4 linked regions of the Struthio camelus genome follow. The protein of the gene in region 3 purifies or fractionates together with the protein of the main gene of each other region. This does not show direct contact. Links are inferred from orthologs where the notes say so. Each region holds a gene or a part of one and is shown on either strand. Other genes may lie near its edges. The genes, in order: CPSF4, CPSF2, SYMPK and CPEB1.

Region 1 (7,104 bases), on a different chromosome or scaffold from region 3:
CTACTGTTCTAGTGCAGGCACGGGACAGACCAGCTGAGCTCTCAGTCAGTTATTCAAGAGTTACATGTTCTTGGGAGTGAAAACACTCGCTGACCACATAAAACACAGCAAGTCTTTTTATAAGTTTAACAGTTCACTTGCTTTGCCTTCCTGAAGTTTGAACCTAAGTGTGTTTTGTTTTTGTTTTTGTTTTTTTTTTACCGTCAAATCTGAGAGTAACTGCAGTCCATCCTTCTCTCGGTGGCAAGCAATTGCTAAGTTACAAAACGTCTGGAGGTTAGGCGATATTCCTCTCTTCGCTAGAGCTGGCAGCAGGCCCTGCAAGAGGCAAGTGCTGACATCAGTTTCCAAAAAGTCTTACTGTAGCTTTCCAGGCAGAGCTGGAGATGCTAAAACAGAATCCATAAATATTCAGAAAGTACCATTTTCCACAAACCAGTCCTCAGGTTAAAGATTCCCAATTTATATTGCGGATACAGAAATGCGTCTCACAGTAAAACGCAGGTAACACTGGAGGCCCGAGACAATAAGGTGGCAGTAGAGCCAATTTGGGGTTTTTTCTCACCTTTGCTCCTTCAAGGTCTCCCTGTTTACTTTTCTTTCTTATTAAAGTGTTAAAGAAAGTCACATCTACTTTCACTTTATGCTCATTGAGGATTGCCAACAGAGAGGACTCTGATGGGCTTTGGGGTTCCACCAGCTCAGCCAGTAATGTGAAAGTTTTAATGTTGGGTTCTGCGTCATCCTCTTTCATTTTATTCAAGAAGCCCTCCACATCCCCCATCAAAACCAGTCTATCAGATGGTGTGGCTACTGTCCCCAAGGAAACCGTGGCCACATCGGGCATCTTGGAATCCAGTAAGTTAGGCAGGTTGCAGAAATGCAGGTTCTGGCTTTGGCTTGCTTGTTCCTGCTCTGTCTCAGTCTGGTCTGTCCTCATCAACGCTCCAGTCCCGCTGTGAGCTATGTTAGCACTGGCAAGACCAGCCAGTATTGGTTCTGTTTCAGCCCAATTCACATCTGTGTTTTGTTGCTTGATCTGTTGTGCAGGCTGCACAGAGTTCTCCTGAAACAGTTGCTTTTCCATGGCTTCCACATCCAGCTGGACAGCAGCTGCACTCTCTGATCCCTTCTTCCTCTGACTTCTCGCCTTTTGTTTCTGCCTACTGGGTGCAAGCCTTAGCTGAGATGAATTCTCTTCAGTGGGTCCTAGCAGTACTTGAGAAGCCAAAACTGGATCGCCTATTCCACAGTCTCTTGCAGCACGGAGCATCAGATTGTAAGTGTGGCTATCGGCCTTTATCCCAAGTCTAGTCATTTGTTTCCAAACCTGAAGAGGGGAAGATGAACATAAGGTACATGTGATATTAAACAACAGGAGCATTTCTAGCAGGATGTAAGCCTATCTTAGTATATCTACAGTGCCGGCTGTTAATCATATCCACCTGCTGAAAGGGAGTAAGTTTACAGCGTGATGCGATGTCATTAGACTTTGAATAGACACCTAGAGCTAGTACAGTCCTATGAGATCATCCAGAACAGTTTTACAGGTGTTTGCACTATGAGATATCCTGATGGAAGTCTAGTTTACAGAACTTGTCTTGGGAGGAGCTGAGCTCCTCCTGTTTTCATCAGCTCTGAGCAGCCTGCTGCCTTCTGCAGGCTCAAGTGACGAGTTACAACAACAGATGCAACGTCATGTTTTTCCTTCCCACTGAGTACACGAAGACAGACCTGCAAGGCATAGCGGAAGCCATTGTCTTTGTCCTTTATGCAGCCCATGAGAAGGAAGCTGAAGGTTTCAGCTGTGACAACGTGACCCTTGTGCACAATTTCCTAAAAGAGGAGAGAGAGCATTAAACTTCCCATTCACCCCTACAGTCTGCCACAGCTGGCTGCGAAGCACAAAGTACTGCCGCTGCCTTCTGGGGACAGAGCAACGACAAAGCACAGGGCAGACTCCAAGTACCGGGAGCAGAATGATAGCTGCAGGAGGAAAAAAGTCCTGACAGTACCTGCATAGATCCTAGTTTCTCCCTTATGGGAGCTACGGAGAACTTGGGGGCAGGAATCCTTTTGGGTACTGCCGGACTGGCCCCTCTGAGAAGAGGTGCTTTAAGAGCCATAAAAGAAGCTAGCTATCAATATATGCGTTCTCAAAAGGAGGGAAGGAGATAGAGGAGATGTGAACCCCCGCAAATACTCTGTTCAACAAATTGTTGACAGATCAGAACAGACGTTTAAAGCCAAACGACGTTTAAGCCTGCAGCTGCCTCTTTTTATCTACTTAAACTTTACCTGATATGTATCAGCACTATTTTGTTGTATAAAAATCAAAAGTCAATACAAAAATATGACTACTTGTTCTAAAATGACCTGAGCTTAAAATGAAATAGAGAAATCTACGCAATATGGCAGCTTCTAGGAGTTTTAAATAGAGTAGACTACGCTTAATACAAGAAAAGTCACATATTTACCTTCAGTACATCAAAGCACATCCTGAGATCTGAGCACAAGGCGCACACTTTCAGCAGAGCATGGTAAGTTATCAGGTTCAGCTCTTGATTTTTGCTCTTTAGTTGCTGCCGTAACTTGAGAGCACTCTGCAGACCTGAGTCCTTCCATGGTGATTCAGCACAGGCATTGAACAGGGCTGTGTAAGTGGCATCAGTGGGGAGTAAGCCTCGTTTTTTCATCTAAAGGGAGGAAAAAAAGAAATGGAACTGGCTTTTTAGGAAAAGAGTTCCAGAATTTCATAGTTTGCTTTTAAGATTTTCAGGGTAACAACATGTAAACATTGACTCAAAGGCATTTTGGAGTCAGAGACTCACGACCAAATGCTTGAAACCAGTTTTGGCTAAAAACGTAATGAAAGTTTTAATGAGGAGAGGACGTAAACCTACATCATTGTAGAGCCTGAATGCCTTTTTCACGTAGCCAACCCTGCCACAGCCACCTATTAGAACCGTGTAGTTGCTTTCTTCTGGCTGGACACGTTCTTCCTTCAGCATCTGCACCTCAAACAGCTCCAGAGCCTCTGCCAGCTGCAGGAAGGAGAGAAATCCATGATGAAGCAGCAACAGAATCAGTTATAATGGGTGTTAATAGACTGTGGTAGAAGTCCTAGAGAGCACAGGGTTCCTCGCATTCCTTATTTTACTTCTCTTCTGTAAAGACATACAGTGACCACACAGGACAATACACATGGGACAGCGTTGGAGGTGTTTGGAGTGAGAAGCCGCAGCACACTTGATATCAAACCCAGGACTGCCACGGGGGGTGACAGACTGGCTGAACGGAGGAGGAGATGAGGAGTGGTTGAATTTGTAGAGGAACTAATTGCACACCCTCAGAACTGACTAGTTAACTTGATTCTTATTTTCGGAGGGGAAACAGGCATAGGAAAGACCAGTGCCGTAGTCCAGGTTTTGCAAACGGAATCCTCTTTTAGCTCCTGGCCCAGCAAGTCTACAACACCGTGCTGCCTCTCTATCATCAAACGCTCTTTAACAAACAAGCAAAGAACTGGGAACAAACCTTGTCCTGTTTAATGAGGGCCTTGCATTTTAAGAAGTACCAGTACGGTGTGTTCTTGGGCCCACGCCGAGGTTTCCCTTCTTCTTCCTCCTCCCCCTCTTCTCGAAGCCGTAAATTCTGAAAGTGCGACGTGGTTTTGTGATAATGCTTTCTGGAAGAAAATTTACTAGATAGCGTCCCAAAATCCACGTCCGCCTCCTCGTCCGCGTCACGGGCGGCTTCAGCGGCGCCGCCGGGACCGAGCTGGGCCGGGTCCCCGCCGCGCAGCGCGCAGGCCGCCGGCGACGAGCCGAGCGGCCTCAGGGCCGCCGGCAGCGGCCGCCCCCGGCTCGGGGGCCGCAGCAGGCCGGGCGCTGCCCGCGGCGGGGCGAGGGGGGCCCGGGGCGGCCCGCGGGCCACCAGCCGCAGCAGCAGCAGCCTCATGGCGGCCCGTCGCCGCCGGGCGGGGAGGGGGTGGGGGGGGGCAGGAGGCCTCCCGCCGCCGTCGCTAGGCGACCGCCACCCCGCTCGGCGCCGCGCGCGCCAAACGGCGCCTGCGCGGGCGGAAGGGGCGTGGCGGCGCGGCGCCATTGGCGGAGGCGCGCGGCCTGCCGGGAGGCGGGGGGTCAGAGGTGACTCCCGGCATCCCGCGGCCGCCGATCGCCACACGCCGCCGCAGCGGGCCGCGCCGGGCCCCCCCCCCCCTTCCGCCTCCTTCCGCGCCCCTTCCCACCGCCATCATGCAGGAGCTCATCGCCAGCGTGGACCACATCAAGTTCGACCTGGAGCTGGCCGTGGAGCAGCAGCTGGGCGCGCAGCCGCTGCCCTTCCCCGGCATGGACAGTGCGTGCGGCCGCCGCTCCCGGGGCGGGCACCGGGGCCTGCGGGCTGTCCCCTCCGCTCCCCGCCCCGCCGGCGGGTCCTGCCCCGGGGATGGGGCCCGGCCGGAGCTCCTGCCGGCAGCGGCCCGGGGGGCCCGGCTTTGCCTGAAGCCCCGGGCGGGGGCTGCCGGGGGCCTGAGCCCCTCTGCCGGCTCTTATTGCATCGAGCCAACTTCTGCTGTCCCTTATGAGAGCTTCGGTCTCAACCCAGATGTTTTTCTTTCCTTCCTTGGTGCCATAGTTAGTGCCAGACCAGGCTAGAAAGTGAAGGTGGAGGCATCATTCTGAATAAACTTGACTTTTCTCCACAGCACTTCAGTTTCTTTGTTCCCCTTCCACGGATGAGGTGTTTTAAGGACCAGGAAGATCTCATCTTGGAGTGTATCTGTGGCCTGTGCTCTAAGCTTTCTCCTACAGTCTAGTAATCTGGTACAAGTAGTCTAGGGAGACTTACAGATTGTTAAAATTTTTCTGGCTAGACTACTAAACTAATATTTTAATGCCCTTAAATCATCTGATCCCTGTAGGTCAGGATCAGCAAGGGACAGCATCCTAATGCTCGTCTCAGTCCTTTTTGGTCAAAACAATATAAGACTTCAGTTTTCCTGGCTGTAAAGACTGGTTTCACCAACGTGATTGATTTAATAGCAGAGGAAAGCCTGGTCAACAAAACCTGGTTCTCCGAAAGGCTAAATAGGCACCACCAAGCTCCTGTAAATCCTGTTGGTGTACGTTTTACCAAAAAGTTTACAGATATTGGTGAGGGCCAGACTTGAACAAGGAACTCGCACTGGAAAGTAAACTCCCCAAACCAAAACACTGCTCTTTTCATGTTGAGAACCGGGTTGTCTCTGTAGGGAAGGAAATATTTTAAAAATTGCTGCAAATTCTCATAAAAATTAATAGTGTTTCTTTGGCTATTTTCTCCACAGAATCAGGTGCTGCTGTCTGTGAATTTTTTTTAAAAGCGGCCTGTGGAAAAGGCAAGTACTATTCCCAATACAATTATACTTTTACAGATGGGAGGGGAAAGGGAAACTAGATTCCTTAGCACATCGCTGTGTAGAATGCTCATGGTATATTGTAAAAATGGGGAATAACTGAGATGGAATTAGCTGCCACAATTGTGAAGTAAGGGTATTTTTTAGAAGAAGTGGGGGTGAATAAGCAAGGCTACCTGCAAAGACAGGTTTGAACTGATTGCAAGCGGTCCTTGCTCTGCACATGCCTTGTTAGTAGCTGTGGGTCATGGCTGCCCGGATTAAGAGCTGGAGCTTGCACTGCTCTGCTCATTAGAGAGTAAAAGAAGACTCTTATCAAGAACTCCCTGTTCTGCCATTGCCACTTACAGAAAAAGTGAAGTCTTCTGAAAACTCTTCTTGCAGAGGGGAGTCAAGTGTTGCTGCTGTCTTGTGCATAGCTTCTTGTGCTGCAGATTTTAAATATTCTTTTTTCTTTTTCCTTGCCCTATTGTTCTGCAGGTGGCATGTGCCCGTTCCGACACATAAGTGGGGAAAAGACAGTTGTTTGCAAGCACTGGCTACGTGGACTGTGCAAAAAGGGAGACCAGTGCGAGTTTCTGCACGAGTATGACATGACCAAGATGCCTGAGTGTTACTTCTACTCCAAATTTGGTAAGGGGCATTGTAGCTCCTACTTGACGTTCCTTGCTAGCGTGGGAATCTGATGGTGCAGAGGATCTTGATACATCCTTCTCACCCTGTCTCATCCATCTTCAAAACATTACAGCTCTTCTGTGTCTGCTGATACTGTTAGGTTGTAATTTGTCAGATCTGCTTAGCCCCTCACCTTATTTTACCCCCTAAATTCTTCATATGTTGTAGATGTGTCCTCTCTCAAGAGCTTGCCCCTTGGGGGAAGAGGGGGGAAGTTCAAGTCTTCGCTGGGTTTTGTACCTAATGTTCTGTTTTGGGTATGAGATGAGTAGGCTGAGTAGGTGGTCTTTGCATGACTTTTATTTTGGGAAGTTGATGAGCAGCAGAGGGTATGGGGGTGCAAAACTTTTATGCACTTGCTTTCCAGCTCTGGAGATCTGGACATAATGAGGCAACTTGCTGTCAGAAACTTACAGTCTTGTAGGTTTCCTTGGATTGAGGTTAGTGTGCAATTTGTAGTTTCTCCACACTTTTGGTGCACTAAATGTTTAGTTTTCGTTATCATGACTGCTCTTTCGAATTCAGTTTCCGCATTGTTTTAAAAGCACACGTAAATAATCCAGTCTGGTAGACTTTTACTCACCTAGGGTGAGTCTTGGTGTTTATCATCTAGGTCAAGGCAGGTTGTGCCTGAACTCATAAATGTTGGTAACAGCTTTGTGGGAGCTACATGATTCAGGTAATGTTTTGGGAGTGCTTTGATCTTGTGCCTGCACCGTTTGCTAAGAAGCGTATTTGCCTTTGGTACAGGGGAATGCAGTAACAAAGAATGTCCGTTCTTGCACATTGACCCGGAGTCTAAGATCAAAGACTGTCCCTGGTATGACAGAGGCTTCTGTAAGCATGGTATGTATGTCACACAGTTGCTGCTTCTGTGCCTATAAAGCAAGGGTAGGGTGATGCTATTTTTCCTTTGCAAGATCTGCCTGTGTACCTGCTGTTAGTGAGTGTTGGGTTACACGTATATGAAGTGTGAACTATTGAGCTTTGTGTTGCAGGTCCCCTCTGCAGACACCGACACACTCGAAGAG
Region 2 (7,519 bases), on a different chromosome or scaffold from region 3:
AATACAATTACTGAGACAGATGTTCTGTGATACAGAGCAACAAAGCCCTACCGTGTTGGGCTGTGGTCCAGGCTGAGAAATACACAAAGACCTACTCCTTTCTAAAAGGTTACCTTCATTTGTAGCGAAAGGCAACAGAGCCATTAAAAATAATTTAGTGAAACAGAACAACTTTACCTTTCAAGTTCACAATCTGAGAAAATTTCAGCTGCTGTATTTTGTCAAAGGCTGCATCTACGTCATCCAACGTAAAGAGAGTGAAGTCTTCTGTATTATGGCGGGACTAAAAGAAATAAGAAGTAAAGAACGTTCAAGAACCTGAGCACTCTACCATATCAGAGATTTTGTGTATGAAAGTATCAATTTAAATATACCTGATAGAGATCATACATAAACATCTGTCCCATTTTATATACAGGAATAGTTGCATAAATGGCACAATTTAAGCCCATTTTCCCAACTGCATATGGAAGAGCACCAAGATGTAGAGGGTCAGGATGAGAAAGAAGAACAGCATCAACCTGGTGTACATGCCTACAAAAAAGGGACAACAGAAGGAGCTGGTGAAAACACGGTCTGCATTGTATTCTATACTCCCTATTACAGTTGTTTTGGGAAAAAGTACACAATCTGAATGGCAAATGAGAAAATAAATCCCTCCAGGTCTAGAATGAAATGTTTAAAAGCAATTTAAAAAAATACAAATATTTCCAGACATTCAAGCAACATAAGAACTTAAATACCGAAAAAAGTAACTTTAAGGCCAGGTCACACAAGAGCTCTTGAAAGTTTCACATTCAATTCTTCATGTGCTTTCTGGTGTTTACATATCAACTGAAGGGCCAAAAATGTTTTCAGTACAAAGACACATCATAAACTGTTTACACATCAAAAACAGGTTACACATTAACCCAAAATGGACTGCAGCTGACATTCAGATCAGCAAGACCACGTAAGAGGACTCAAAGCTCAACAACACTTAAACTGATAGAGATGAAATCATAGTGTTTCTTTAAAAACAGAAAAGGTCAAAGTTATCTTTTAAAATTATCCATTTTTTTTTTTGGAGTATATAAGGTGACTCTTTTTGCCAGGTGTTTTGTAAAGTAAGAGTTCAAAATAAAAACTTACTGTCTAGCATGATCGAAAAACATGAAGCCTTGAAAGAGATGCCACGAGGGAAAACACAAGCTGGGCTGACAGACTCAGAAGTCTAGCTTTTTGTTCCCTTGGCTAGCAACGGAAGCACACACTTTTTTTTTTTTTGACGGTATTCTTCTTAAAAAGGAGATTTTTGTTTAATTGCTTCTCAGGTAAGGCATTTAACAAAACTTTAGAAGCTATCCTTAATACAGGATATTGCTCAGCTAAAAGACTTCAAATATTACAAGTATGTTAATACTGAAAAAGTAAATCTATAAAGATAGCATCACAAGGCTTAGTTTTTTTCAGGAATTTCCATGTTTCAGGCCTAACTCTGAAATCAATGCGCGCATGAGGAAAGCTCCTCACTGTAAACCTACAGATGTTCAGTACAAAACACTTGACATGTTTATTTCTTTGCAGGCCCGGGACACTAACAAAAGCTTTTCTCCAGGCTGACGGTCTGTTAAACCTAAAACAGGAGGCAAAAGCCAAACCACTTTATCTTCAGCTTTCATGCAATGAGAATTCTTTTATTTAAACTTAGTTAGCCATCCTGCATCAGTTTAGAGCTAAGCTCAGTCTCCCACAGCCTCTGTTCTGTGTTATGTTTATGAAAAAACAAAACACCCAAATCAAAACAAAAAAACAGAAGAAGTCTGAGAACTAGAGTTACTAGATTTGACTCACTGACTCACAAGGAAAAGATTACTTTTTACTGGAAGTGTTTTATCAGTCATACCTTTCAATTAAAAGATATTTTCAAATAAAAAAGAATGCTTTGGGATTTAACATTATCATACATACAAAACAAAATGACATTTAGAACACTTCTGAAAAGAATAAGATTTTTTTTCAGATGTATGAACTACTTACTTTCTTAGCGAATCAATAATATCCATAGAAAAGTTTTCATCCCAGCCACAGTCCAAGAGAAACCGAAATTCATCTACTTGCAACAGATAGCACAGGGCAGATTCCTCCTGCACCCCTGAAAGCGTCGTTAACTTGATAATCGATGTCATTTTTCTCTCCAAGTGTTCGACCTCCAGAAGAACTATTCTGAATGGGAGAAGGGAATGCTTCACTAGCTAACCCAAAGGAAAAGTCTATTTACATAGAGCCACCTCTAACTTCTTACACTACTGAGAACATGGAGGAGAACGGCTGCTACACACTACCTCAAATAATGCTGCTGGTTATTAGGTATTACCTATCTTTTGATCTACCCCCTTTTAAACATAGGGAAAAGAATACTTTTTATTTGCCCCAAGGGAATTTTTTTAAAAACCTAAAAACAAAAGGGTAGAGCCTTTGCTACCCCTGGAAAAAGCTGCCACCAGAAGCGAGGCAGCCAGCAGCGACGCCCACCTCGGCGGGGACGGCGCGGGGGCAGCCGGGCGGGGCCGCAGGGCCCCCGGGGCCGCAGCCCCTCCAGCCCGGCGGCTCCGGCGGGGCAGCCCGGCGCGGCGCGGGCCGGGGGCGCGGCTCAGCGGCTCCCGCCCGCAGCCGGGCTCCGCCGCCGCCGGGCACCGGCCCGGCCCGTGGGGCGCCGAGGCGGCGCCGAGGCGGCGGCGAGCCCCGGCGGCCCGAGCCCTGCCGGCAACGCGCCGCGGCTCCCCACGGCGAGGACGCGGGCGCGGAGGAAGGGGGCGGCGGGAAACGGGGAAGGAGAACCCGCAGCGAGCGCTGGCGCCGGGCCCCGGCGATGCCCCGGCGATGCCCCTCCGGGCGGCCGCGGCCGCCGCTACCTGCTTCACGGGCCTCGGTCAAGCCCACCGGGGCGCGCGCCCACCGCCTCATCCGGACACGGCGCCATCCGCCATCTTGAGAGGGGCGGGGAGAAAAGAAGGAAGGGCAGTGCGGGGGTGGCGGGCGACACCACCGCCAGGCCGCCGCGGGGGGGGGAGGCGGCTCCTCCCCCGCTCCCCGAGCAGCCGGTGGGCTGCGCCGGCCTGCGCGCTGCGCCCGTTGCCCTTGGTGTGGCCGCTGCTCCGGGCCCGGCGGCAGCGGCAAGCGGTAACGGCTGGGGCTGGCGGCGGGAGGGAGCGGGGCGGGTTGCGTGGTGCCGGCGGGAGCCCTCACCTGCAGCGCCTCGGGGCGCTTCCCTGCGCCGGCGGAGCCTCGAAGGCGGCAGGGGCCCTGCCGCGAGCTGCGGCCCGGCCGGCGTCGCGGCTGGCTGCGGAGCGGCCTGCCTCCCGCCGCCCCGCGGCGCCCTTCGCAGCAGCGGCGGCGTCTGTGGCCGTCCTCGGGGCGGTACGGCTGCCGGGCTGTCTCAGATCGTCCCGCAGGACACTCATGCGGAAGGTTTGGGCTGGTGAGGTTGGAACAGGCTTTGCGGAGTTAACAGATATGTTATCTTGCTTCTCTGTCAATGGCCAAGTGACTGCGAGGCTTGTCTTTGTGACTTTTTACTGATATTAGGGCATCCATCTGCAGGATTTGGTACTGTAAATACATGTGTTATGTTTTGCAGGAGAGCAAATTTCTGTCCTTTTAGATTTGTTTTAATGGGTAAATTATTTTGCTGCTGTGGGTAGATTATTTTGTCACTATTTTGCCAATGATGCCTTAAAAGAGTCTACTCATCTCTAGCTTTAGGATAAGATCCTATTTCCCAGCACCACCGAGCTTTTTTGTAAGAATCCTGTGTTTGGACCTGAGAACAGCATGCACCTTGCATGGAGTGTTTAATGGCCCTCATGTGTTTATTATTCCATAGTAGGATCCTAGTACGTGAGAGTAAAGGCGCTAGGTATGTCGCAGTTGTCGTGTGCAGCTCTATCAGTAACTCTTCTGTGTTACACTTCTCTTTCTAGCAGTCATGGTGAATTTCATGCAAGCTGTGCGTGATCACTGGGTTCACATCCTTGTTCCCCTAGGATTTGTGATTGGATGCTATTTGGACAGAATGAACGATGAAAAATTGTCAGCCTTCAGAAACAAGAGCTTGCTGTATAGAAGGTTTGCTTATGATACCTTTTTAAAATATATATGTTCTGTTATTTTGCAAAGTAGATGTGCTTCTCTGTTCTTTTTGAGAGTCTCAAGTACAAAAAAAAGTCAGTAATGCTGTCAAAATATTAAGAGGAAGAAAGCCCTAAAAATTTCAGTCAACTTTCATTAAGAGTTTTGAGTGACTAATGCCTACTGAAAATCTGTGCTTTAGGGCCCATCTTAGTGCTATAAGTCATGAAAGAAAGTGTGCGCGATTCTGTCCATTTGACCTATTAGTTGAGATAATTGACTTAAAATTTTTTTAAATAAATGTTATTCTTGGAAGCAAGATAAACAAATGCAAGAATTAGTAAACGTTAAGACACTTTCATTTATGTCTAAGTAGACTTATGAAAAGGATGACTAGAAAAATAAATAGAAACCTAAATATGTGCATAAATAAGAAACTCATGTTGCTAGGAAAAAAATCTTCAAATAAAATTTAATCATTTACTTAACCACTATACTTCACCATTTACAGTGTAATTAACATGGCATATTAACACAGTCTTTGCTGCATAGAAATTGTTACTGTTCCTTTTTAAATAAAAGTAACATTGTCTGAAATACTACTAATAAAAAAGAATCTCAAAGGGTTGAAGTAAAAACACCACTTGAAACATTCTGTAAACTGTACTTCTGAAGAGACTGTTTAAGATGGATTTTTCTGTATACTGGGCCCGGAGAAAGTGTATGAAAAGGGGAGGACCTCCAAACCACTCTTCTCCTCCCCCCCTCTTCCCTTAAGTCCTTCTGGAAATGTTTTTGAGTCCTCCTATTTAGCTGCATTTGGATACCGTACCAAGTTCACTTAAATGCACAATACTAGAGCTCTGACAAACTTTACCTAACAAAATAATGTTAAATGTGATAATTGCAGGGGGAGGGAGGGGACAAATTTATAAAACATATTTTAATGTAAAGTAACTTATTAAGCTAGGGAAGTAGTCTGTAGGTATGAATTTCCGTATTCTCCGTGTCCTTGATTTTTCTACAGGTGGGAAAATGCAGCCTCTTGCATTTTTTTGTGTATTGAAAATGGAAAGTGATCTTTTTCAGCTTCCAATTAGTTTTCCATTTTAAGTAACTAAATATTGATTTGATATCAAATAATTTGGAAAAAGAAGGTATTTTTGCATTGGTATAAAAGGCTTTAGCTTTCCAAAGCTTGTTAATCATACTAACTGCTGCCAAGTGCTTAGCCATGAAACTGTGCAAACCTTATCTTGGCTCTGTCTAAAACTTCAGCAGAAGCAAATAGTACTTGGGTTTTCCTTTAATTTTAACCTTTTCAGTGGATTATAGTAAAATTATATCTTAAGTTTAAAAGTATGACATCATATATATACATAGCATGTATACATATATAGCATGTAAATACTTGTATAAATTTGCATCATTTACATAATTATCGTCTTTTTTTAAATTAACCCAGCTTCTGTATTTTGAATGTTTAACGTTTAATGTTAGCAACTGCTGTGTCTTTACTGAGGATATGACTATATACCCATGGTATGGGCTTGCTGGCTTACTGCTCGGGGAGAATTGAGATAACTAAATGTGCTACCTCATCTAGATCAGTTCTCTTAAATCTGTATAAGACTGCAGGGTTAACCAAACAGCAGAAAAAGAATCATGCTGCATAATTACTAATTCTAGTCTATCACAGACTGGAAGAAAAGTAGAAATGTTGGTATATATGGTTTGCAAGTGACTTTTTTTTACTCTGGTGTCCCATGGGCTAATAATTCTGAGTGAGAAAGTAAAGTAACACGCCCACTGCTCACGCCACTGTTATTAGCACTTTTCTCACTGCAGTTAGTGGTTAAATTGCACTGGCCTTTCAGTATGTTGCAAAAGCTTCCTCTGGTTTTGTTTGTTTGTTTGTTTTTCCCCAGTAAAGTAATGATGTTTTTCTATTCAAAAGAAATAAGGCCCTGTTATGCAAAAAGTTTGTTATGTTATTAGAGGTTAGGTGTTCGGTGCCCACGTTTGAACTAATTGAAGCGGACTCAAGCAGCTTTGGAAAGAAAAAGAGAACATTTACCCATATTGAAAGATTCTAAACTGACAACACAACACTTTGAAAGAAAGTCAGATTTATTCATTATAATTAATATATATTTCAGTCAAGGTTTCTATAATAATGAAAGCTTACATCAAGGTTTTCTATAATAATTAAAACTTACATTTTTTAGTAATTATCCTACAGAAATGATCCTAATGTTATTCCCCTGCCTTTCTTTTTCCTTTCCACACAGAGAATTGAAACCTGGTGAAGAAACTACATGGAAATAGAAGCTGCTGATGAAATGGGAAATATTTTCACTTGTTCAATCAACATATATAGCAAGTTAAAAGAACAGGATTACAGTTTTTATTCTTGAGTGAACGTATAAGGCTGCAGAAAGGAACACCTACGATTCATCTCTGCTAGTTTATAATTTTCAGTCCTCCTTTTTGAAAGATAATTACATGACTAGTACAAGTCCTGTTCAGAAACATTTATCCCCGGAAGTCATACTCTGAAAGAGGGAGGAAGACTTATGTAATAAAGAAAAACTATGCAAAAAGCATGTATGTCGTTATTAATTTGTATGGTGTAAAATTCATGTAGTTCATAGAGAGACAATGTTTAAAGGAATATTTAATATAGATCCAAAATGTGGTAGAGAACGTATTTATATATTTTTAATTGAAATCTGAACCGTTTTCTCTTTAGATTTCCTCTTTAGACATGTTTCTTTGGAATGTCAGCAGTGGCAATACTGTAGCTTTGTGATAGTGCAAGAGAACAGGAGAATGAAAAGGATTGACAGGCGGTAAGAGACAGCAGTGAAGCCGACTTCTCTGTGTGATTTCTAAATTTCTAAACCAAGCGAAATACGGGAAAAGCTTTCGAGGGCGCAGGGAGGTCGGGGGGCGGATCCCGGCTTCGTGCCGCCGAGGGCGCAGCAGGGCCTCCCGACCGGCAGGGGGCGCCCTCGTGCAGGCAGCGCTCGCACCGCCCCGCTGCCGGCGGCTACCGTGGGGGTGGGGGCTCCGCGCGGCCGGGCTGCGGCGGGTTGCCCGGTAAAGCGAGGTTTGATTGGCTGGGGCGGGTCACGTGAGGCGGAGGGTGCTGGCCGTTGACAGTAAACATGGAGTCTATCTTCCACGAACGGGTGAGTGAGGGGCTGTGGGAGGGGAGGGTTCCGCTCCGCGCGGAGCTTTACCCACCCGGGGCCGGGGTGGGGGGCAGTCGCGGTGTCGCCGGGCCCGGGGGGTGCTCCCTCCGCGGAACTGTACGGGGTGGCGGGCGGGTCTCCGCTCCCGGCCCCGGCTCCGGGGCGGCCCTCGGGGCGCGCTGCGGCCGGGCCCCCTCTGGCGGCAGGGCTGA
Region 3 (7,028 bases):
CCTGGGGACATCCGCATCGACCTGGGGATGCCGAGGTGGACCCGGGCGCCCTGAGCCTGCCAGTGGCACCCAGAGGGCTCCCCGAGGTGGACCCGGGCGCCCTGAGCCTGCCGGTGGCACCCAGAGGGCTCCCCGAGGTGGACCCGGGCGCCCTGAGCCTGCCGGTGGCACCCAGAGGGCTCCCCGAGGTGGACCCGGGCGCCCTGAGCCTGCCGGTGGCACCCAGAGGGCTCCCCGAGGTGGACCCGGGCGCCCTGAGCCTGCCGGTGGCACCCAGAGGGCTCCCCGAGGTGGACCCGGGCGCCCTGAGCCTGACGGTGGCACCCAGGGGTCTCCAAGATGGACCTGGGGCCCCCGAGTGGGCCAGGGCAGACTGAGCCTCCGCCACCCTAGACTGTGGGGGGGGGAGGGTTTGGGGGTGCCAGGGTGGCCCTGGGTGTCACCCCGCACACGTGTCACCCTCCTCTTCCTCGTGCCCTTCCTCCACCCCCCCCCCCGGGGATTAAAGAGCTTTTTAATATCGGCCCCCGCAGCCGCCTCCTCCCTGCACCCGGTGTCACCCGTGGCCCCGGGCTGGGCTGGCACCCATGGGTGGGGGACACGCGCTGGGGGGGGGATGGAGGGGGCCGTGCACGGCCACGCAGGGACGTTGGGGCCACGGGGTGGGGGGGATAGGGACGTGGGGCACCCCAGGGTGGCAGCCCCCCCCCGCTGCACACGTGTGTCCCCGCACCCCCCCCGCTGCACACGCGTGTCCCTGCACCCCGACACACACACATGTCCCCGCACGCCCCGATGCACACGCGTGTCCCCGCACCCCCCCGCTGCACACGCGTGTCCCCGCACCCCCCCGCTGCACACGCGTGTCCCCGCACCCCCCTGACGCACACGCGTGTCCCCGCACCCCTGATGCACACGCGTGTCCCTGCACGCCCCGATGCACACACACATGTCCCCACCCCCTCTGATGCACACGCGTGTCCCCGCACCCCCGACGCACACACGTGTCCCTGCACCCCGATGCACACGCGTGTCCCTGCACGCCCCGACGCACACACACATGTCCCCACCCCCTCTGATGCACACGCGTGTCCCCGCACGCCCCGATGCACACGCGTGTCCCCGCACCCCTGATGCACACGCGTGTCCCCGCACGCCCCGATGCACACGCGTGTCCCCGCACCCCTGATGCACACGCGTGTCCCTGCACCCCCCCGCTGCACACGCGTGTCCCCGCACCCCTGATGCACACGCGTGTCCCCGCACGCCCCGATGCACACGCGTGTCCCCGCACCCCTGATGCACACGCGTGTCCCTGCACGCCCCGACGCACACACACATGTCCCCACCACCTCTGATGCATACGCGTGTCCCCGCACCCCCGACGCACACGTGTGTCCCTGCACCCCGACCCACACACGTGTCCCCGCACCCCTGCTGCACACGCGTGTCCCCGCACGCCCCGATGCACACGCGTGTCCCCGCACCCCTGCTGCACACGCGTGTCCCCGCACGCCCCGATGCACACACGTGTCCCTGCACCCCGACGCACACACGTGTCCCTGTCCCCGCACGCCCCGATGCACACGCGTGTCCCTGCACCCCCGACGCACACGCGTGTCCCCGCACGCCCCGATGCACACGTGTGTCCCTGCACCCCCGACGCACACGCGTGTCCCCGCACGCCCCGACGCACACGCGTGTCCCCGCACCCCGCCGCCGGCCCCCCGCCGCCCCCAACACTCGGCCCTTTGTGCGCGGCGCGGGCACGGGGCCCACGGCGCCGGTGGCGGCATAAAGCCCTGCCTGTGCCCGGCGCCAGGCTCTGCCGCCCCGTGGGTGCTGGGGGGGGGGCACCGGCCGCCCTGGGTGCTTCCCCCCCAGCACCCCAAAATTAGGGGGTGCAGCCTGCGGGCACCCCCTAATGCACCCACTATGAAGGGGCCCAGGCGTCCTGGAGGGGTGGGGGGCAGTGGGTGCTGGGGGGGGTCGTGCAGCACCATGCACCCTGCCCTCGGACCCCCCCACACACCCCAAAATTAGGGGGTGCAGCATGTGGGCACCCCCCTAATGCACCCGCTATGAAGGGGCCCAGGCGTCCTGGAGGGGTGGGGGGCAGTGGGTGCTGGGGGGGGTCGTGCAGCACCATGCACCCTGCCCTCGGACCCCCCCACACACCCCAAAATTAGGGGGTGCAGCATGTGGGCACCCCCCTAATGCACCCGCTATGAAGGGGCCCAGGCGTCCGGGTGGGAGGGGGGCAGTGGATGCTGGGGGGGGGACGTGCAGCACCGTGCACCCTGCACTCGGACCCCCCCCCAGCACCCCAATATAGGGGAGAACCACCTGCCCCCCCCCGGGGAAGGGGCCCAGGCGTCCGGGCGGAGGGGAAGCAGCACCCCGGGGTGCCACGTGGCCCGGCGGGCGCGGGGGGGGGGCGCTGGCCGGCAGCGGGGGCCGCGGGGCCTTGTTTATGAGCTGCTGCTGACGAAGTTTCCCAGCAGGCCCCCCCCCCCCCACGCAGGGCAGCCAGGCCTCGGGGTGACCCCCCCCCCCACAGGGCGCGGGGGGCCCAGCCAAGGGACCCAGGCGTCCGGGCGGCTCCGGGTGCCAACGTGGCCTCCGGAGCTGCCCGTTTTGGGGGTGGTGGGTGGGGGTCGCTCCACTCTGCAGGGAGCCCAGGCGTCCGGGCTGCCCCCACCCCCCCCCACCCAAGGGAGGACCTAGGCATCCGAGGCAGCACCCTTTCCCGCAGGGCACCCCGGGGTGGTGGCGGTGTGGGGGGGGTTCCCTGGCTGAGACCCAGCAGACTCGTGGCACAGGTGGCGGAGCTTGGGGGGGGGGGTTGTTCCCCTCTGACTGAGACCTGAGACCTGGCACACTTGTGGCACTGGTGGTGGAGCTGGGGGGGGGGTTGTTCCCCTCTGACTGAGACCTGAGACCTGGCACACTTGTGGCACTGGTGGTGGAGCTGGGGGGGGGGGTTGTTCCCCCCTGACTGAGACCTGAGACCTGGCACACTCGTGGCACTGGTGGCGGAGCTGGGGGGGGGTTGTTCCCCCCTGACTGAGACCTGAGACCTGGCACACTTGTGGCACAGGTGGTGGAGCTGGGGGGGGGGTTGTTCCCCCCTGACTGAGACCTGAGACCTGGCACACTTGTGGCACTGGTGGTGGAGCTTGGGGGGGGGGTTGTTCCCCCCTGACTGAGACCTGAGACCTGGCACACTTGTGGCACTGGTGGTGGAGCTGGGGGGGGGGTTGTTCCCCTCTGACTGAGACCTGAGACCTGGCCCACTCGTGGCACTGGTGGAGGAGCCAGGGCAGGGGGGCAGAGACCTGGCCCACTCGTGGCACTGGTGGAGGAGCCAGGGCAGGGGGGGCAGAGACCTGGCACACTCGTGGCACCAGTGGAGGAGCTTGGAGGGGGGGGTTGTTCCCCTTGGCTGAGACCTGGCACACTCGTGGCACCAGTGGAGGAGCCGGGGCTGTGTGTGTGTGCGTGGGGGGGGAGGTCCCCTCTGACTGAGACCTGGCACACTCGTGGCACTGGTGGAGGAGCTGGGGGGGGGAGGTTGTTCCCCTCTGACTGAGACCTGACACACTCGTGACACTGGTGGCGGATCCAGGGTGGGGGGGGGTGCACAGCGATGTGCACGTGGGATCCCGGTGCTTGCACACCCACGTGCACGGGACCCCCCGTCTTCGCGTTCGCACACCCACGCGGGAGCCCGGTGTCCGCACACCCACGCGCACCCCCCGTGTCCGCACACCCACGCGGGATCCCCGTGTCCCACGCGCACGGCGCCCCCCCACGCGCATGCGCCCCACCTGCACGCGCACCCCCGCCCCTCCCGCGCGTGCGCGCGGCGCCCCCTCCCCCTCCCCCCCCCCACCACGGCGGGCGGCGGAAGCGGAGCGGGGGAGGGGGCGTGGCCTCCCCAGACCACGCCTCCCGGCCTACAGCTCCCAGCGGGCAGCGCGCCCCTGGCGCCGCCGCCTGACGTCACGGCGCGTGCGCGGAGCGCGCCGAGGCCGCCGAGCGCGCGGGCGGCGGTGAGGGGGGCTGGGGGCGCCTATAGGGGCCCTATAGGGGCCCATAGGGGCGTCGGGAGGGGGGGGAGGTGGGTCGGGCCTTGGGCAATGTATGGGAGCGGGAGGCTCCGTGGGGCTACGGGGTGAGTGGGAGCCGGGGCTCGCTAGCGGGGTGGAGGCCCTATAGGGCTGTGGCGGGGGGGCTATAGGCTCCTATAGGGGTGTGGGTATGGCGGGGAGGGATCTATAGGGCCGTGGGGGAGGGCAGGGGCGTCGGCCGGGCCGAGGAATGTATGGGAGATGGGGCTCTGTAGGGGGGTGGAGGCCCTATAGGGCTGCGGGAGACCTATATGGGCCCCTATAGGGATGGTGGTATTTGTGGGAGGGGCTCCATAGGGCCCTGGGCCTTGTGTGGAGGCTGGAGGCACTATGTGGGCATGGAATGCGTGGGAGATGATGCCCTGTAGGCAGGGGTGGAGGCTCAATAGGCCTGGGGCACCTATAGGCTCCTATAGGGGTGAGGGCAGGTGGGGAAGAGGCTCTATATGGCCCTGGGCAGCGTGTGGGGGGCTGGGGACTCTATATGGACGTGGGATGCTTGAGAAATGGGGCCCTATAGGAGTGAGGGAGTGTAGGGGAGGCATCTCTATAGGGTGCTGGTCAGTGTTTGGGGGCAGGAGGGTCTGTAGGGACAGGATGTGTGTGGGGAGTGGGGCTCTATAGGGGCCTGGGGGATTGGTAAAAAGAGCTGAAGGCCCTATAAGGGGCTGGAGGAGCTGCAGGTGCCTACAGGGGTGGGGATATGTGGGCAAGAGGCTCTATAGGGCCCTGGGCAGCGTGTGGGGGTGGGAAGGTTTGTAGGGAAAAGGGGTGTGTGGGAAATAGGGCTCTATAGGGTCTGGGGGAAGCACAATGGGGTGAAGTATGGGGAAGCAGGAAGCTCTATAGGGGCAGGAGTACGTGGGCAAGAGGCTCTATAGGATCCTGGGCAGTGTGTGAGGGTGGGAGGCCCCGTATGGCCAGGAGCTGTGTGGGAAACGGGCTCTATAGGGGGAAGGAAACCGTGTAAGAGTCTATAGACACTACAGAGGCATGGTGCTCTATAGGGTCCTGGGCTTGGGTAGGGGGGAGACAGGAGGCTATTTAGGGACCAGGAGCGTGCTGAAATATAGAGCGTGAGTGTTGGAGGGGGTATGTGGTGGCAGGGCCCTCTATAGGGACCAGGATAGGTGCGGAGAGGTGCTGTGTAGGGGCCTGGATTGGCAGTAATAGGGAGGAGGCATATAGGGTGTCCCAGGACTCTATAGGGACCAGGATAGGTGTGGAGAGGTGCTGTGTAAGGGTCTGAATTGGCAGTAATAAGGGAGAGGCATATAGGGTGTCCCAGGACTCTATAGGGACCAGGATAGGTGCGGAGAGGTGCTGTGTAAGGGCCTGGATTGGCAGTAATAAGGGAGAGGCATATAGGGTGCCCTTGAGCTGTGTAGGGGGCTGGTGGGGGGGGCCTTGTGTGCCTGGGCTGTAGGGAGTGGGGGAGACCCTATAGGATAAGGGGTACTGGGGGTTAAACCTAGGGTGCCTATAGGGGCCAGGGGGTGCACAGTGAAGCTGGCAGAGGGGCCCTGTGTGCCTCGGGGGGGTTCACTGCGGGGGGGGTCAGGGTGCCACTGCGGGGAGGGAAAAGGGGTCACGTATGGCTGGCGAGGGGGGCAGTATGGCTGGCGGGGGAGCGGTGCTGACGCCCGCTCGCCCGGCAGCGAGGAGGCCGCGGCGCCATGGCGGGCTCGAGCGCCGACGGCCCCAACGCCCGCATGAGCGTGGCCTCGCAGTTCTTCGCCGAGGAGGAGTGCGGCGGCATCGACAGCATGAGCACCTCGGAGCGGGTGCGTGCGGCAGCGGCGGGCCCCCGCCTGCGACGTCCGCGCGGGGTCCTCGCGGGGATCCAGCTGTGATGTCCTCGCGGGGATCTGGCTACGTTGTCCTCATGGGGACCTGGCGTGGGGCTCTAGGGTCCTCGTGGGGACCCGGCACAGGGCCATTGGTCCTCGCGGGCACTCGGCTGTGACGTCCGCGCGGGGACCTGGCTCGGGGCTGTTGGGTCCTCATGGGGATCCGGCTGTGATGTCCTCACGGGGACCTGGAACAGGGCCATTGGTCCTCGCGGGCACCCGGCTGTGATGTCCGCGCGGGGACCTGGCACAGGGTCATGGGGTCCTCATGGGAACCCGGCCGTGATGTCCTCACGGGGACCCGGCGCGGGGCCGTGGCGTCTTCGCGGGGACCTGGCACGGGGCTGTTGGGTCCTCATGGGGATCCGGCTGTGATGTCCTCACGGGGACCTGGCACAGGGCCATTGGGTCCTCGCGGGGATCCAGCTGTGATGTCCTCACGGGGACCTGGCACAGGGCCATTGGGTCCTCGCGGGGATCTGACTGTGACGTCCTCGTGGGGACCTGGCACAGGGTCATGGGGTCCTCATGGGAACCCGGCCGTGATGTCCTCATGGGGACCCGGCGCGGGGCCGTGGCGTCTTCGCGGGGATCTGGCACAGGGTCATGGGGTCCTCATGGGGACCCGGCTGTGATGTCCTCACGGGGACCCGGCACAGGGCCATTGGGTCCTCGCGGGGATCTGGCTGTGATGTCCTCACAGGGACCTGGCACAGGGCCATTGGGTCCTCGCGGGGATCCAGCTGTGATGTCCTCATGGGGACCTGGCACAGCGTCATGGGGGTCCTCATGGGGATCCAGCTGTGATGTCCTCACGGGGACCCGGCACAGGGCCGTTGGGTCCTTGCGGGGATCCGGCTGTGACGTCCTTGCGGGGACCTGGCATGGGGCCGTGGGGTCCTCCCGGGGACCCAGCTGTGACGTCCTCGTGGGGACCTGGCACGGGGCCGTGGGGTCCTCGCGGGGACCCAGCTGTGACGTCCTCATGGAGACCTGGCACGAGGCCATGGGGTCCTCATGGGGACCTGGCTGTGACACCCTCGTG
Region 4 (7,013 bases), on a different chromosome or scaffold from region 3:
TGCAGCAGAGATTGCTGCCTTTCCAGGTTACTGGGGCTGCAGCTTTTCTCACCTGAAGCTACTGAGCTCTGATTCATGATTGCAGGGTATGTTTCTTCAGTTAAGTGGAAACCCTTAATCTTGCTTACCACTTTGAAGTTGCTTTTCTAGGGAGGGGTGGTTCTAAGTGCTCTTAAAGTTTTTCCCCTCTAAGGAGAGACTAAGGGAACAGTTATTTACCCTTAAACCAGGAGACTGGAAGCTTCTTGTAGCAAGACTTCTGTTGGGCACCCAGGAGACTTGGTCCCTAATCTCTGTGCTCTGTTAACTACACAGAGGCAAGAAAGTCTTCTGGAAAAACAAGTTCTCTGCTTTGCTGTTACCCTTTGGTATTCCCCAGCTAAAATCAATCAACTTTCACTATGGCTGTTCTTGGGATAGACTGACCATGTGCACTGGCAGTTGATCTGTTCCTAAGTGGTTCCAGCTAGTGCTGTGGATGGAAGCTGCATTTTGTGAAGAATTTCAGCATCCTGGGGCTTTGCTGCAGTTTATTTCAACCAGAACAGTCTCCCTAAGCTAATTAAAATGTTATTTTGCTTTGATAACATGTTGAAACAAACATTTGTGATTTCACTTGGTTCAGAAGCTGCTTGGGTAATAGTTGCAGAACGCTTGTTCCAAAAATCTCAAAGAGAAGGTGCTTCAACAGAGAAGCTTCTTTCAAAACAGGAATTTTGGCAAAAATCAGTGTAGTTCTGAAGTCAGCACTCCCATGTAAAATGATTCTGTCGAAATCACTTCCAAACAGTCTTGGTTCTAGCCAGATGTGTTCAAGGCCCTCTCTACACAAAGTAAACCTTGAAAAACTTCTGAAGTTCAGCCCTGCTGATGCTGAGAGTGCTGATAGGTCAAGTAGTGCAGGCCTCAGTTAGATGAATTGGACCTGCAAACTTTATCTGTTTGCTAATATAGCTGAAATAGCAGTATTGCTTGATAGGAACAGTTGCTGGTATCGTGCTTTGTTTTGATGTAGCTGACTTCAGCTTGGGAAGCAAACTACACCAGTAAAAAGGGATTTCCAGAGCTGATTTGATCAAAATATTAAGCTATCCTGACTTATGTTGAGACTGGCACCAACAGCATCTCAAATCTTGTCTCAGGATTCAAGGCTGTAGCCTTAACTACAGTGCTGAGAACCCCTTCAGTCATCACTATGCCTCTGCCTCAAGTGTGGTTTCTGTGGAAGATGAGCAACTCTTCAGTTTTACAAGTGGACAACCTTGTCTGCTCCAAAACATCCTGAGGAGCTGATGTAGATCTTGACAATACTGGCAGCTGAGCTGTGTTTAGTGGCTTCCCTGTGGATTGGGACATCCTAATACTCCTTGTGTCGTGCTGCTGTGATGCCCCAGGTTTGCTGTGATGGTCCTGGTGTTCATTAGCTGCCAGACTGAAAGCTGTAGTTCTCCTACAGATGTGTGTAGCTCAGTCTTCAGGGCTGTGAAGGTGCCTTCATTTCGACTTATGCTCAGACATCCTTGGTGGTTTTTGCTACACAGGTGTACTTTGTTCCACGGACTGAACTGCTATGGGTTTATTAACTGTTGGTCTCCTCTGGGAGCTTCTGCAGGTAAACTGCAGGCTGCAGTCATGGGATTTGTTTGGGGCTGACAAGACGTGAGCTCCCAAGAGACCTGAGAGCCGCTAGGGTAACACTTTAGCGGCCAGCTTTCTGATGCAGAGCCAGCAAGCGAGAGCTCTGTAGCTCTCTTCCTGTTACTGAGAGGGAGCACAAACTCCTCTTCCTATTTCAAATCAAGCCAGGCATTTCCCCTGTTTCATTTGGAGTGTGGTGCTAGAGGTGACTGGAGCCTAATAATGCCATCCTTGGGGGGCCTCAGTCTGCAGCAACCTAGAGGTGCATCTTTGTGCTTGGACATGGATTCTTGCCTGATGATTAAACTGAACTGAGATGGCAGACCATGTTCCTGTTTGAGCCTCTCCTTGCTGCATGTTGTTCTGTGCAATGCTGCTTGAGTTCCTATTTCAGGTCTTCCATTATTTAATTTTAAGCCTGCAAATTGTTTATTCCATGCCACTGTGCATTGCACTGAACGGAACTTTCTCACCTTTCTGAGCTAGAATGGTGTCTAGAAACTCTCTGCTTCCCAACGGAGAGGCTGGGTGCCTTACTAGGCTTTAGGAAGCACTGTTTGACTTCTGATGGCTTTAAGTAGACTACCAGCTAGATAACGCTTCTGTATTGGCTGTTGTTCATCTATTGGCCACACCAATAAAATGTTGCCTCCTGTTCTGAATTGGGATTGTATGCTTTAGCAGACAGGACTGGTTGTTGGGTCACTGATTAGTGTTTAACAAAATGTGCCAGGTTACTGCTGATTCCCCAGGAGAGAGAGGACCTACCACTGCTCTTGCACTGATGCCACAATGAAAGCAGAGGTGGTCACCTGCTCAAATGCCAGCTGTAGCTATAATTACCCCAGGCAGTATACTTTCAGAGAAGCCTGAAGATGCAGCATATGTGCAGCTATCAATGCATGACTCGGGTCAGCAAAATCCTTCAAGACAGAGCATTGAAAGCTAATTCTAGCTGAGCTCAAGAATGCATTTTGGCTTGGCTTGAGGATCTGAGAGTTGAGTAGGTTCTGGAAGATGCAGCCTCAGACATGATACTTCTCTATGCTTTGGTGTTAACTCTCTTATGAGACTAAAAGTCATGGCTGTGTCCTCTAGCTGCATGTTTGTAAACCTTTTACACTTGAAAGTACAAGTTGCTGAGGGGTTTTGGCCCTGTGCACTCTGAAGACCTGCCAAGCTCTTCTCAAAGGAGTATCTCTGTTTTGGGGTGTCTGGGGAGAGGGGTGAGCTTTACCAGGACCGAGTCTAGAGATGTGAGCCACTTCCTACAAGGTGTGGGATGCCAGCTCCCGAGTCCAGGTTGTCTGCAGTATCTCTGGGGTATCCTTCATAATCTTAAGGTTAAAAGCTTTTTAAGTAAAAGGAGAATCTGTAGAAAAGATTAGCCATGGTCTTGCTGTTTTCTGTTGTTCTTATTTGTGGCAGGGCTGGTGCTGCCAGTTGTGGGAAGCATCAAATGCTAAATGAGCAGGAGTGGGTCAGGCATTTGATTTGCCACTTGAGTTTATTTTTGTCTTGCTAGCACAGACTCCTAGGAAAAAGCTTTGCCTCCTGCTGTAAGAGGTTCTTTAGCAGTAACATGAGTAGAATATGGAGTTTCACACTTGTGCCAAATCAGCCTGATGCGGCACTTATTTTTATTAAGATGACTGGCAATACTTTCTTAAATTGAGCTTCTGTACTCCTTGGCTGCTTTTTATAAAGATGACCTAAAGTCCGCTCTGCCTGTTTGCTCTTGCCTGAGGCTTGCTTTGAGCCCTACCTGCTTACTCTTGGCTTGTGAATGCTCATGTGCTGTGTTGAGAGTTCTGGGACCTTATCTGAGGGTGGGCTGAATCTTTCAATAGACAAATATCCCAGGCAGCAACGCTGAATAGATGTTGATGGTCTTAAACAGTCAGGCTGAAATCCCTTCCATCAGTTGCTCAAGTCCTGTCTGGAGGCATCACACGAGTTGTATATCCACTAGTTTGTTGCTGCACCCTTCTAGGACAGGGGTACCTTTATTTTTACCGGACTGCGAAGGAAGCCTGCATGCTTGGGAGAAACTCTCAAATCATGCCTGTTGAGGACTTGCTTGAAAGCAGAATTTTATGTTATGGCAGTAATGCTGCTCATGAAGATAGGGTTATGGAGAGAATGCAAGTCCCATACTTGGGCTAGGATTAAAGTTCCAGTTGCCATGTGAAATTCAGTTTAGACTTACCTTCTGCATCCAGTTGCAGGCTGCATACTAGGAAGACTTAAGGGATCACTTTAAAATAAAGCCAGCTCTGTGGTTCAGGCTTGCTACTGATCATAAGCTTATGCCAATAGTTTTGGGCTGCAAGGCATTTTCCTCCTAACTGCAGTCAAGATGTGGATGAGGCAGAGAAATGTGGGGAAGTCAGGCCCTAAACTCTTGCAGAATACATCCAAAAGGGAGATGTATTAAACGACTCTGACAAATACAAATGTTCCACGGTCTAAAGCTATAGGTTTTTGTGCCTCTTGGAGTAGCAGTGGCCTTGTTTGTCAGCTTAGCTGCAGTTCTGTTCTTGGAGTCTGGCTCTAACTAGATTTGCTTAATGGCAAGGATTCTGGTCCAGAGGCCAAGACTGGGGAGGCTGTACCTTCCTGCTCTCCTCTTTAATATGCATCTTAATTGAGTGATACTGTTTGCTCAGCATGTCCAAGAGCAGGATTCTGCTGCAGTGCCTTTTGGGTGATGGGAGGACCTGCCTGTGGTCTGAAGATGCTGGTTAGAGATCAAGTTTGGCATCTTGTGGATTGGCAGAGGCTTGAATGTTGTACAGCTGCACTGAAAGAAGCCTAGATGTGAAAGTAGCTTGCAAGCAAAGCTGGGGGAAGCAGCTGGAGTGCCAGTTCTCTGGCCTGGCACTAGAAGCAGGAGTGTTTTGCTGCTCTTATGCAGAAGAAGCTTTACTGAGAGCTTTGACCTGTATAGGATGGCTGGACTCAAACCCCATGAAGCTGATGGATCAGTGCCTGTGGAGGATTGTGATAAAGCAGAGCTGTTCCTGGGTAATGTCCCTCTCCTGTAAGGAGCTACTAACTAAAGGGAAGGTCTGGGTTTAGTTCTCTGCCTTGCCAAGTGAAGCCTCAGGACTTCTGAGCTACATTTGAATGGCTGGGAAGTCGCACTCTTCCAGAAGCCTGCTTTCGAAAGTGATGGCATGGTGGCTGACTTTGGCCATTCCAAGGTGTTCAGAGCTCTCAAACATGGGTGGTTGCTCTCTGCCACTGTGCGTGGGAGAAAACTGGTATCTTGTGGTGACCTCCCCCTCCCCTCAGTGTTGAGACATGGGTTTTGGAGAAGAGAAGCATCTGTGTTACCCAGATCTCTGCCTGTCACCTAGTAATGAGAGGCACCATGCTGGAGAGAAGTAGCAATCTCGTGTCAGCTACCAACCTAGTTTTGGAGCTACAGCTCTTAATCTCAAGTCTATCCTAGCCTTGGTGAGCTTGTACCAACTTGTTACCAGAATGGTCCTGGTCTGATGTGCTATGCTGACAAATTGCTGACCTGTTTGCTTAACTGTTTCTTTAGTGCAAAGACTTGTACTTGGGTGTTGCTAGGACCTGGAGCTAAAGCTAATATGAAATGTATTGGAGGCAATCCAGAATCTTCCTACAATGTGCTGAAAGCAGGGTGGTGTATACTAGCTTGCTAGACGCTAATGTTTCTTCTCTCTCTTCTACCAGAAAGAAGACCCTGGGAGGAGCATAAAGGACTGCTGGGATAGCCCTGATGCCCCTGCCCTCTCCACTTGCAGCAATGCAGATATATTCCGCAGAATAAATGCCATGTTGGACAACTCTTTGGATTTCAGTGGAGTCTGCACCACACCAATCACAAAAGGCAAACGTGACATCTTGCCAGGTGATGTGTTTGGCTGAGTTTGATGCAAGCTTGAGTTTTGAGGGCTGATGTAATGGAGTTGCCTGATGGGACCTACCAAACATGTCTTGGCACTCCCCAGTGCTGTAGTCGTTGCATGTCCTTGTGAGCAGAGAGCTGCCTGAAGTCAGGGTTTGCACTCTCTTGATACTGGGGGCTTCGTCTGTGTGCCTAAAGTGGATAATTGAGCTATTCCGTGGCAACGTGGAGGTGCCTGGCAGTGTTTGCTCTTGCACCCCCTCAGTTGCTGGTGGTGCTGTAACTTGGTGGGTGGGGGCAGGAGATGAGCTTTTATTGCCTGACCTATGTAATGCATAATCTGCCAACTGCTCCTGGTATAGACAGTTCCCACAGATTCCTTTATAGTGTGCCTCCCCTGGAGGCAGGGTATATCTGTTAGTGGTTAGGATGGCTGGTCTGCTGCATATCTTACAAATGCAAAAGACTCTTCAGTAACCACATTTACTAGAGATCGGTTAAAATCTTGCATTTAAGAGTACACCCAAGCAGTGCGTGCAGATGAAGACTGTCTTGCGAAGATGAGCTTGAGACTCCAGAATTAGTGCTGCAGGTGGTCACTTCCCACAGGCTCTGAGGGAACAGGGCATGTTCTTGTGCTTGATTTGCATCAAAACGGGAGGCTCTGTGCCCAAGCAAAGAGTACTGGGTCAGTCTTAATTTTGTGTAACGGAAGGACATGCTTTTTTGCCTTTGTCGTAGGAAAGATCTGATGAATGTACCTGCCCAGAGCCTGATGTTCCTTTTGCTAGAGTAGTTCTGCACAGCCATGCTTGCCCTTGCTCCCCTACTTCTTTAAACATTGTTGCTGTTATTGGAAACAAGCTGGCCCTCTGGACCTGTGCCAAAACAAGTGGGAACTAAAAGGAAAGCCTCCCAGCTGGTAACTTTGCAGGCTTCTCTAGGTAGATGAGCTTTGCTTGCAGTCACTAGGAGACAGAGTTGTCTTGTGTAGCTGAACTGAACAGGTGTAAAAGCTGCAAACCAGTGTCTGGGCAGCCTGTGGATCAGCTGGCCAGCTGTAGTGGTTTCCTGCCTGGCCTAATACTACTAGCTTTCTAGCTTGCCTGTCTTAGTCATGCTTTTTTGTGCTTAAGAGCAGTAGGACCTCTGAAAACTGAAGGCCTCACTTGTCTTGCTGTTTGCTTTGGTTTCCTCTGAACAGTGCTGTAACAATTATGTTGAACTCCTCAGATTAGACTTACTCTGAGGCTGGTATGGTGTAACTTTGTTCTGGACTAGTGAAATGACTGCTACCAGATGATTTCCAGTGCAGCTTAATCTTCTGGGTATTTGAGGGGCTTAGTGCTGTGGACTAGACTGACCTGGCATGTGATCCTGTGCTAGTGCTGCAGCAGTTCCAGAAGTGGATTGTTTGCTTCGAGGAACAGATCTAAATACAACACTTCTTGAAACGTTGCTAGTGAAACAGTACTGGGAGGATATGCTGTCT

The links.
Region 1: the proteins of SYMPK (region 3) and CPSF4 purify together in Homo sapiens (affinity purification with mass spectrometry; 4 studies listed by BioGRID and IntAct, counting the BioPlex papers as one, with this or other methods). This does not show direct contact. The link is inferred for Struthio camelus from reciprocal best matches to the Homo sapiens genes SYMPK and CPSF4.
Region 2: the proteins of SYMPK (region 3) and CPSF2 purify together in Homo sapiens (co-immunoprecipitation; 8 studies listed by BioGRID and IntAct, with this or other methods). This does not show direct contact. The link is inferred for Struthio camelus from reciprocal best matches to the Homo sapiens genes SYMPK and CPSF2.
Region 4: the proteins of SYMPK (region 3) and CPEB1 purify together in Homo sapiens (affinity purification with mass spectrometry; 3 studies listed by BioGRID and IntAct, counting the BioPlex papers as one, with this or other methods). This does not show direct contact. The link is inferred for Struthio camelus from reciprocal best matches to the Homo sapiens genes SYMPK and CPEB1.

What each region holds. Positions count from the first base shown.
Region 1 is NC_090956.1:4,548,468-4,555,571, reverse strand, and holds the start of CPSF4 (cleavage and polyadenylation specificity factor subunit 4), read left to right. Parts: upstream 1-4,092; 5' UTR 4,093-4,249; coding exon of another isoform or gene 4,250-4,256; coding exon 4,257-4,359; coding exon of another isoform or gene 4,360-4,654; intron 4,655-5,329; coding exon 5,330-5,380; intron 5,381-5,878; coding exon 5,879-6,031; intron 6,032-6,823; coding exon 6,824-6,919; intron 6,920-7,071; coding exon 7,072-7,104. Other genes in the region: PTCD1 (pentatricopeptide repeat-containing protein 1, mitochondrial), read right to left, coding at 202-318, 566-1,330, 1,735-1,836, 2,478-2,696, 2,904-3,044, 3,538-3,890, 4,250-4,654. UniProt on the Homo sapiens protein: Component of the cleavage and polyadenylation specificity factor (CPSF) complex that play a key role in pre-mRNA 3'-end formation, recognizing the AAUAAA signal sequence and interacting with poly(A) polymerase and other factors to bring about cleavage and poly(A) addition.
Region 2 is NC_090946.1:65,729,638-65,737,156, reverse strand, and holds the start of CPSF2 (cleavage and polyadenylation specificity factor subunit 2), read right to left. Parts: upstream 3,012-7,519; 5' UTR 2,895-3,011; exon of another isoform or gene 2,821-2,894; intron 2,206-2,820; 5' UTR 2,169-2,205; coding exon 2,020-2,168; intron 535-2,019; coding exon 375-534; intron 284-374; coding exon 178-283; intron 1-177. Other genes in the region: ATXN3 (ataxin-3), read left to right, coding at 7,281-7,304. UniProt on the Homo sapiens protein: Component of the cleavage and polyadenylation specificity factor (CPSF) complex that play a key role in pre-mRNA 3'-end formation, recognizing the AAUAAA signal sequence and interacting with poly(A) polymerase and other factors to bring about cleavage and poly(A) addition.
Region 3 is NC_090957.1:1,740,551-1,747,578, forward strand, and holds the start of SYMPK (symplekin), read left to right. Parts: upstream 1-4,007; 5' UTR 4,008-4,055; intron 4,056-5,791; 5' UTR 5,792-5,809; coding exon 5,810-5,917; intron 5,918-7,028. UniProt on the Homo sapiens protein: Scaffold protein that functions as a component of a multimolecular complex involved in histone mRNA 3'-end processing. Specific component of the tight junction (TJ) plaque, but might not be an exclusively junctional component. May have a house-keeping rule.
Region 4 is NC_090953.1:25,267,579-25,274,591, forward strand, and holds the start of CPEB1 (cytoplasmic polyadenylation element-binding protein 1), read left to right. Parts: upstream 1-3,999; 5' UTR 4,000-4,425; coding exon 4,426-4,665; intron 4,666-5,346; coding exon 5,347-5,524; intron 5,525-7,013.